Caenorhabditis elegans: one gene and its partner. The protein of the gene in region 1 interacts with the protein of each later gene in a pairwise test. Each region holds a gene or a part of one and is shown on either strand. Other genes may lie near its edges. The genes, in order: lmtr-2 and ceh-92.

The links.
Region 2: the proteins of lmtr-2 (region 1) and ceh-92 interact in a two-hybrid assay, tested with the Caenorhabditis elegans proteins (one large-scale study listed by BioGRID).

Annotation. Positions count from the first base shown.
Region 1 is NC_003283.11:8,009,673-8,012,949, reverse strand, and holds lmtr-2 (Ragulator complex protein LAMTOR2 homolog), read left to right. Parts: upstream 1-1,843; coding exon 1,844-2,027; intron 2,028-2,135; coding exon 2,136-2,326; 3' UTR 2,327-2,459; downstream 2,460-3,277. Other genes in the region: Y97E10AR.6 (BSD domain-containing protein), read left to right, coding at 1-100, 211-309; DNA-directed RNA polymerase II subunit rpb-9, read left to right, coding at 605-789, 1,224-1,352, 1,405-1,594; Y97E10AR.4 (SPK domain-containing protein), read left to right, coding at 2,898-3,151, 3,229-3,277. UniProt on the Caenorhabditis elegans protein: Regulator of the TOR pathway, a signaling cascade that promotes cell growth in response to growth factors, energy levels, and amino acids. May activate the TOR signaling cascade in response to amino acids.
Region 2 is NC_003281.10:11,579,736-11,584,696, forward strand, and holds the start of ceh-92 (Homeobox-cysteine loop-homeobox domain-containing protein), read left to right. Parts: upstream 1-1,864; 5' UTR 1,865-1,923; coding exon 1,924-2,046; intron 2,047-2,089; coding exon 2,090-2,584; intron 2,585-2,640; coding exon 2,641-2,757; intron 2,758-3,311; coding exon 3,312-3,452; intron 3,453-3,508; coding exon 3,509-3,610; intron 3,611-4,961. Other genes in the region: Y66D12A.7 (Glutamyl-tRNA(Gln) amidotransferase subunit C, mitochondrial), read right to left, coding at 613-720; Y66D12A.6 (uncharacterized protein), read right to left, coding at 1,137-1,304, 1,374-1,490, 1,542-1,667.

The DNA of each region.
Region 1 (3,277 bases):
GAAATCATCACCATCATCTGAATCGTCTGTAGTGGTTGTAGAAGAGCCAACGAGTCCGTCACAATCTGAATGGAGTGTTTGCAGTGAAAAGAATGTTGAGGTTCGTTTTGTCGCTGAACCATAATTTTTTTTTCGAAAAATTTGCACCAAATGTTATTAAAAGTGCTGCCCAATTATTGAAAATCGATAGCAATGTCAAACTAGTTATAGGAAATTCCATCAAATGACGAAGATGACGAAAAGGGACCATTGACACCTCGACCTGAAAGCGAAAAGAAAGAAGAAGGATGGGTTAACTGGGATGAATAATTCAAATGCTCTTTTTTCACTAAATTCACTTCTTTTTCGATATTCTACATGTTCCTGTCAATAATTCCACTGTCACTCCTATCTCTTTAAAGCTTCTAGAATCAAATGGCTAGCATCATTCCCCCATTTCTTTATTTTATGGAATTCTTTTTTATATGTATATACAAAGTTAGAAAGGTCGGTTTTCCTTCTTCGAATAATCTTATCTCTCCTCTGTTGGTTTGTAAATAAAAATTGCATTTTTATTTTATTTTCCACATTTTTGATTCGCTATTTGTGGTTTTCCATTCCACTAATGTATCTGCAATTAAAATCAAAGCTTGAAAATGTTTTATCATATTTTTTCAGAAAGATGAGCCAAGGGTATGATAATTACGATGATATGTACGATCAAAACGGTGCATCACCGGCGCCGAGTCAAAACGAAAAACCCGGGAAAAGTGGGCCTGGTTTTGTTGGAATCAAGTTTTGCCCAGAATGGTAATTAGTTTTATATTATTTAGGAAATTATTTCCGGCAATTTCACAAAGTGGCCGATTGCGCCTTGTTGTTTCAACATTTTTCATTTAAAATTAGTGTGAAAATATTGAAATTAAATTGATTTAACTGGAAATATCATTTTCAGCTGGAACATTATCGAGCTTTGTTTTTTTTTTTGAAAATCGGTAACTTGCATGCCATTTTTAAGCACTTTCTGAAGTTTTTCAGCCGAAAATAATGTTATTTTCAGTAAAATCAACTGAATTACTATATTTTGATACTAATTTTAAACTAAAAATGTTGGAACAAAATGGCGCAATATGCCATTTTGTAGAATTGCCGAAAGAAAATTGCACCCACCTCTGGCTCAAAGCTAATAATAAAGACAAAATGATGAAAATTTGAAAAAAAACATCAAAATTGTTAAACTTCAGCAATAATATGCTGTACCCACGAGAGGATAAGGAATCACGAGTTTTGATGTATTCCTGCCGGAACTGTGAGCATCGTGAAGTCGCCGCTAACCCGTGTATCTATGTGAATAAGCTCGTTCACGAAATTGAGTAAGTTCATTGTCAAATTGACTCATTTTCTAAATCAATTGGATTATTTCAGTGAGCTCACTCAAATCGTCGGAGATATTATTCACGATCCAACGCTCCCGAAGACTGAAGAACATCAATGTCCAGTCTGTGGCAAAAGTAAGGCTGTCTTCTTCCAGGCTCAAACAAAAAAGGCAGAAGAAGAGATGAGATTGTACTATGTATGTGCATCGCAAGATTGTCAGCACAGATGGACGGAATAAAACATAGTGTCCAATTGTTTTCTATTTATTTGAAACGTTTTCTTAATCGTCAATTGTTGTTTTATTCCTTATTTCTAAAATAATGTTTTTTCGGATCTCCATATGTTCCCTACCTGTTCCAATAAATTCAAATCATCATTCAATTTTTCGATTATATTTTTTCTAATTCTCGGTTTTTACCGTACTCTTTGGTTATTTTCAAAATTAAAACTTTCTAACTAGTAACCGTAATCCAAAACTTTAAAATAGATGCTGAAACAGAAAGCGCTGGTTGATGTTCTCGGACAGGTGAACACAAGCGGTGTTGATGGTTCGTGGCTTTTCAATAAGGAAGGATTGCTCCTTGCCTACGTCGGAAGCGAACAGAAAGCCGTTGCATCAAACGTCTCATCTGCACTTATAGCCAGTGTCTGGGCTGCTCTCGAGAGAAGAGGTAGATTTTTTAAAACATGCTCATAATCAGTCTATTTCAACTGGAAAATTACCAGTTCACATTCTTCAAAGTTTGAAATCAAACACCTCGATCAAGTTGTAATTACAGCCAACGATCTGAAAGAAACTATTCTCGTTCTGGAGAATGGAGTAATTGGTTGCACACTCGTCGCTCGTACAATGCTTCTGGCAGTCAAGGCCGACAAGAGTGCCGATTTGGGAATGGTCCGCGCTAAGCTTCATACACTGGCCGCCTACCTCGAGCAGCCGATTCTTTCAATTTCTCACGATTTGGGATGATCGATGTATTATCTTATATTTCTATCGGGTCTCATTCATCCCATCCAAATTCCATTTTATTTTTTTCCAATTTACTAACAATGAATAGATCATTTCACGCCATTCTTGTTTTTTTTAAGAACTTTTAAAATATAAAATACTTATTCTTTAACATGAAATTCATTTAATTGTACAAAATTGATGAAAATTGATGATCATGAAAGTGCATTGCTCAGGAGAAATTATATTCAAAAGGGAAAAAGTTCGAGTTTTTTTCTAATTTTTTAGAACTCTAATATGGCTTTAAAAAGCCCGCCGTTTGGTTGAAGGTCTCGCAACGATTTCAAAGGAGTACTGTAGTCCGTGCGACACGTCCTATTTTCTACCAATCGACACGTCGCAAAACGTCGGAACGATTTTTTCTGTAATATTATTATTTTATCCATAAAATATTCGAAATATCGATCGATATTCCCTCAAAAAACCTGTTTTCTTCTTTACTTCTCCATTTTTCCTTGATCTTCACCTCGAAGTACGCTTTTTTTACTCGTTTTCAGTGTTCTTAATTATCAATTATTTTGCTTTCCAGCAGATGCCATTCACTGAAGAAGGTCAGGTGCTCTCATTGGGCCCGAGAGGTCATGCAGATTACACAGAGACTGAATTGACGATATCACCGATTTCATGGATCGAAGAAGATGCAATTTGGACATTTTTGTACAATAAAATTCATGATGAATCAGCAAACATTGACAAAAAGAATGTTGATCCAGACAGTAATGCATTATGGGAGGATTTTCGGACGAAGACCGGCTCGGTGAGACAAGTGCGACGATTGAGATCACAGTGAGTCGTGGAGAGATGAAATTATTCACAGAGAAAAACTCTAAATTGTTTTATTCACATTAACTTTCAATTTCCAGTTATTTCAATGAGATGGTCCGAAGTTTACACTCAGCGTGCCTTTCATGC
Region 2 (4,961 bases), on another chromosome or scaffold:
TTTAAAGGTGGAGTGCGCCCAATGGGGGGGAACAAATTTTCTAGATTTTATATGATTTTTTGAAAATTGAAAAAATCTCAGTTTTTGCCTAATTTCTATTTGAATTACCGCCAATTGGATTTGTTCGATGGAGCGCGCTTGCACGTTTGTGAATTTATTTATTTTATTTTTTTGTTATATTCCACCGATTTTTAATGTTTTCGGTGTATTTTTGCTCGAATTTTAGAGAAAAAGTTAAAAAAAAAACGCTTTTAAACGATTTCGAACTTGAATTAATTAATTGCTCTGATTTACGCTTGTAAGCGTGCTTTTTAATCGAAAATTTGCATTTATTTTGACTTTTTCTCTAAAATTCAAGCAAAAATACACCGAAAACATTAAAAATCGGTGGAAAATAACAAAAAATAAAATAAAATAAATGAATTTAAAAACGTGCAAGCGCGCTCCATCGAACAAATCTAATTGGCGGAAATTCAAATAGGAATTAGGTGAAAACTGTGATTTTTTAAATTTTCAAAAAATCATATAAAATTTAGAAAATTTTTTTGAATTTTTTTATCATGATATTCGGTCACTGTGGCCCCATAGGCGTATTTTAAAGAAATTTCCCACCTTACTATCGTACGGCTCATCTGGAACAAGAATCGGGTCACCTGGAAATGGCGTTTTTCGTTTTCCTTCTCCAAATCTTCTTATTATCCGTGTGAATATCAGATTCATCTTGAAAAGTTGCATAATTCACGCTAAAAATGGCTAATGAAAATAATTTAAAAAAAAACGATTTTTCGCTTCAAAAAAGTTCAAAATTGCCTCAAATTCAGAAAAAAAAGAACTCTAGTTTTCTTGAATTTGTGACTATTTTGAAGGTTTTTGAAGCAAAATCCGCGAAAAAAAAGGAAAAATAGGTTGCAAAGGCAATAAAAACCCTTTAAATGGCTAAAAATGAAAAGAAATGAGCCTGCAGAAAGTGTGCTCTATTGATAAAATATTGATGGCGGCAGTTTAAATACTGACGCAAGGAAATTCGAATGGCACTGGGAATTATGAGCTAAAATATGGGTAAAGATATGAAAATAAAAATAAAAATAAAAGAAATAAATCAAATTTAACAGAATAAAAGGTGAAAATTATTTATTTTATTTCTTCTCAACGGGTTTTTTGGATTTCTTCGCCACCGGCTCCTCCTCGTCATCCTCATGATCTGACGGAGGTCGATTCCGGAGCTCATTGAGCTGCTCAAAGTGAACCGGATGCATTCGATTCTCTCGCCCAAGGAACCAATATTTGTAGTGGCGCTTTTTGTTCTGAAAAATTGAGTGAAAATTGAATATTATTTTTTTTCAAGAATATGGAGAAAAATAAAGAAATCTCACATTTTGCAAGTGACCAAGCTTCTCACACCGATCAAATGCCTCTCGGATGGACGATGACGTGGATGGAACGTTGGCTTCGTCGCTGAAGTTTCGTAGAATGCTCAATTGCTCGAAAAGCTGGAAAAAGAAGGCTTAAAATCTGTGGATTTCGACTGAAAATCTTCATACATCCGGTGGATTTTCTCCTGGAGCTGCTGGCGAAGCTTCTTCCGGCGCAGAAGATGACGTGGCTTGTTCAGATCGTAGAATGCTCATTTGCTCGGCGAGCTCTTTGGATAAGGGCTTTTTCTCCATCTAAAATGGATTTTTTTTGGTTTTTAAGAGTTTTTCAAGAAATTTGGGGAAAAACGAGTAGGAAAAACCATAAAAAACGAAAAAACCGAAAAAAAAAAAACAAAAAAATATGTCCAAGTACGGTAGTCATTCTGAATTTTTGCGTCAGGCGCATTGCGTACTCTGTGTTTTTCCCGCAAACACCGTCACGTCAGAATGCACAAAACAATTTTTTATTCGAATTTTTCGCAACTTTTAAGTGATTTTCCACCAGAATATGGAGAAAAATAAGGAAAATCCGCTTGTTCCATCAGAAGAGAATATCATCGAATGGTGTGAAAAAGAAGCGCAGCGGCTCGAGCGTAAAAAGTGTGAAGCTTCAGAACATGTGAAGGAGGAGGTAATTTATTGAATCTTAATTGATTTTAACTGTTTTTTTCCAGCAAAAACTCTCTGACGATGACGAAAACGATTTCCATTTCGAGGAGTTGGAATCTCCTCCACCACCCAGAGAACCTTCACCCAAAGCACAGGGCTCCCTGTACAAATTCCCCGGAGATCTACGATATTTCAAAGAATTCAAGCATCCAACAATCCAGCAAATGATCTACATTTCCGAGGATTCTGGATATCGCTACGAGAGAGTTTTCAATCGATTCTGCGAACTTCGAAAGCTCCAAGGTCTAAAATGCCTTCGAAATGACACGTGTCGCCGGGTGGCCAAGTACTTTTCGCCGCTTACCGTCTATGATGGAGCCGATGACGTTACAGCTCGCAATTTAATGCTCCAATACTTCAAAAGATTCAATTACTCAGGGCCTTTGCCCTCTACTGGGTGTATTCACTTAGTTGTAGATCGCCTGGTCTTGCCGCCTGATTTAATTCGAGATTATTACGTGAATTGGTACAAATTCTCTGACGATGACACCAATGATCAGGTTTTTAATTGAAAAAACTGAAAAATTATGAATTTTCATCAACAAAAAAATTGCAGAATTCCCAATTTGACAGCACTGAGTGGCCATTTAATGTGTCTGATGATTTCGAGGATGGAATGATTCCTGCCGACATGGATACAGTGCAAATAGACCATGATTATGGAAAATCGGAGGTTAAAATTGCGATTTCCGCTGACAAATCTCATTTTTAGGCATTTTGACCGAATTTGCTTCAAAAAACCCCCGAAAATTGGCTTGAATTCAGAAAAATCACAAAAAAAAACAGAAAAAATTGGGATTTTTTCAATTTTCACTAATTTCCTCCAAAATGATAGCTGCGACCAATCAGCGATTTGCTCCGCCCACTTTTGAACCAATCAGATGAAGTGGGCGGAGCGAATCGCTTTTCTTTTGTTATTTTTCTGAATTCAAGAGAATTGTGTGTGTTTTATTTGCAAGAATAAGAACTGCGACCAATCAGCGACTTCAAACTCCGCCCACTTCATCTAATTGGTTGAAAAGTGGGCGGAGCAAATCGCTGATTGGTCGCAGTTCTCATAATTGAAAAATCGTGTTTTTTCCGTTTTTTTTCAGAATTTTACCAAATTTTTGGATTTTTTGAAGCAAATTCAGTCAATTTAACTTAAAAATGTTCCATTAAATTGCCAGAAAAATGATGTTTTCAGTGAAAAATTCAATAAAAGTAGATCAAAGTATGATTTTTCAGCACGAAAAACGCGCCGAAATCCTGAAAATCATTCGAGATCGGCCGGATATGACTGTGGCGGAGGCGATCAGCTTGTGCCCAATTTACGGAGTCGATTTGAGGGAATTGCACGCAACAATTCTCAAATTTCAAGAGGATGAGGTCGGATTTAGCGGGGAAAAATCGCTGAAAGTTGCTGAAAATTGCACAATTTTCAGGAAGAAACCGACAAAACTCAGTCAGAAGCTGAGGGCGAAAATTCGATGGATGAGGAGTTTGAGACGATTCAACAAAATTTCGATGATAATGACGATGAAGAGGTCCGGATTCTACGTTTTTTGGCGAAAAATTGGATAAAATCGCTGAAAAATTGATCAAAAACGTGCAAAAATCAATAATTGTTTTTTCGCCAAGAGGGGGGCGGAGCTTGCCCAGTCACGCCCACTTTTTGGCCAATTTTTTTTTCTAAAAAAAAAACAACCGAGAAATCGGGTTTTCCGGATTTCTTGAAGCGTAGCCAAGAAATGGGCGGAGCCTAATTTTTGTGTGATTTTTAAATTTTTTTTTGCAATTTTTTCAAATAATCTCACAAAACAGTCATTATAGGGGCGTTACCATTTTTTCCATTGCCAAGAAATGGGCGTGGCCTAAATTCGAAAAAATTTATACGAAAAAATCTGGAAGAATCTAACTTTTTCTCTGAAATTTTCAAGTTTTTTTATTTTAAAAAATCTCACAAAATACCCATTTAGCCAAGCAATGGGCGGAGCTTAAAATAGGCGTGGTCCCGATTTTTCGGCGAAAAATTGGAAAAATTCGCCTGAAAATTGATCAAAAACGTGCAAAAACCAAAATTTTCGCCAAGAAAGGGGCGGAGCTTGCTCAGTCACCCCCACTTTTTTAGCGATTTTTTTCTAAAAAAAAAACAACCGAGAAATCGGTTTTTCCGGATTTCTTGAAGCGTAGCCAAGAAATGGGCGGAGCCTAATTTTTGTGTGATTTTTAAAATTTAGATTTTTTTTTTCGTCTTAAAATTTATTTTTGCAATTTTTGCAAATAATACCACAAAACAGCCATTTTATGGGCGTTACCTTTTTTTGCCAGAAAAACCAACAAGGCAGCGTCAATATCCCGAACCATAGCCAAGAAATGGGTGTGGCCTAAATTCGAAAAAATTTATACGAAAAAATTTGGAAATTTTTAACTTTTTCTCTGAAACTTTCAAGTTTTTTATTTAAAAAAATCTCACAAAATAACCAAAGTGGTGGGCGTGGCCTAAATTTGAATATTCGAATTTTAAGCCCCGCCCATTTCTTGGCTAAATGGTTATTTTGTGAGATTTTAAAAAGTTAAAAAAAAAAAAACTTCTTGAAAGTTTCAGAGAAAAAGTTAAAAATTTCCAGATTTTTTCGTATAAATTTTTTCGAATTTAGGCCACGCCCATTTCTTGGCTAGGCTTCGGGATATTGACGCTGCCTTGTTGGTTTTCTGGCAAAAAAATGGTAACGCCCCTAAAATGGCTGTTTTGTGAGATTATTTGAAAAAAATTGCAAAAATAAATTTTAAGACGAAAAAAAAAATCTAAATTTTAAAAATCACACAAAAATTAGGCCCCGCCCATTTCTTGGCTACGCTTCGAGAAATCTGCAAAAAACGTTTTTTTTTTGAATG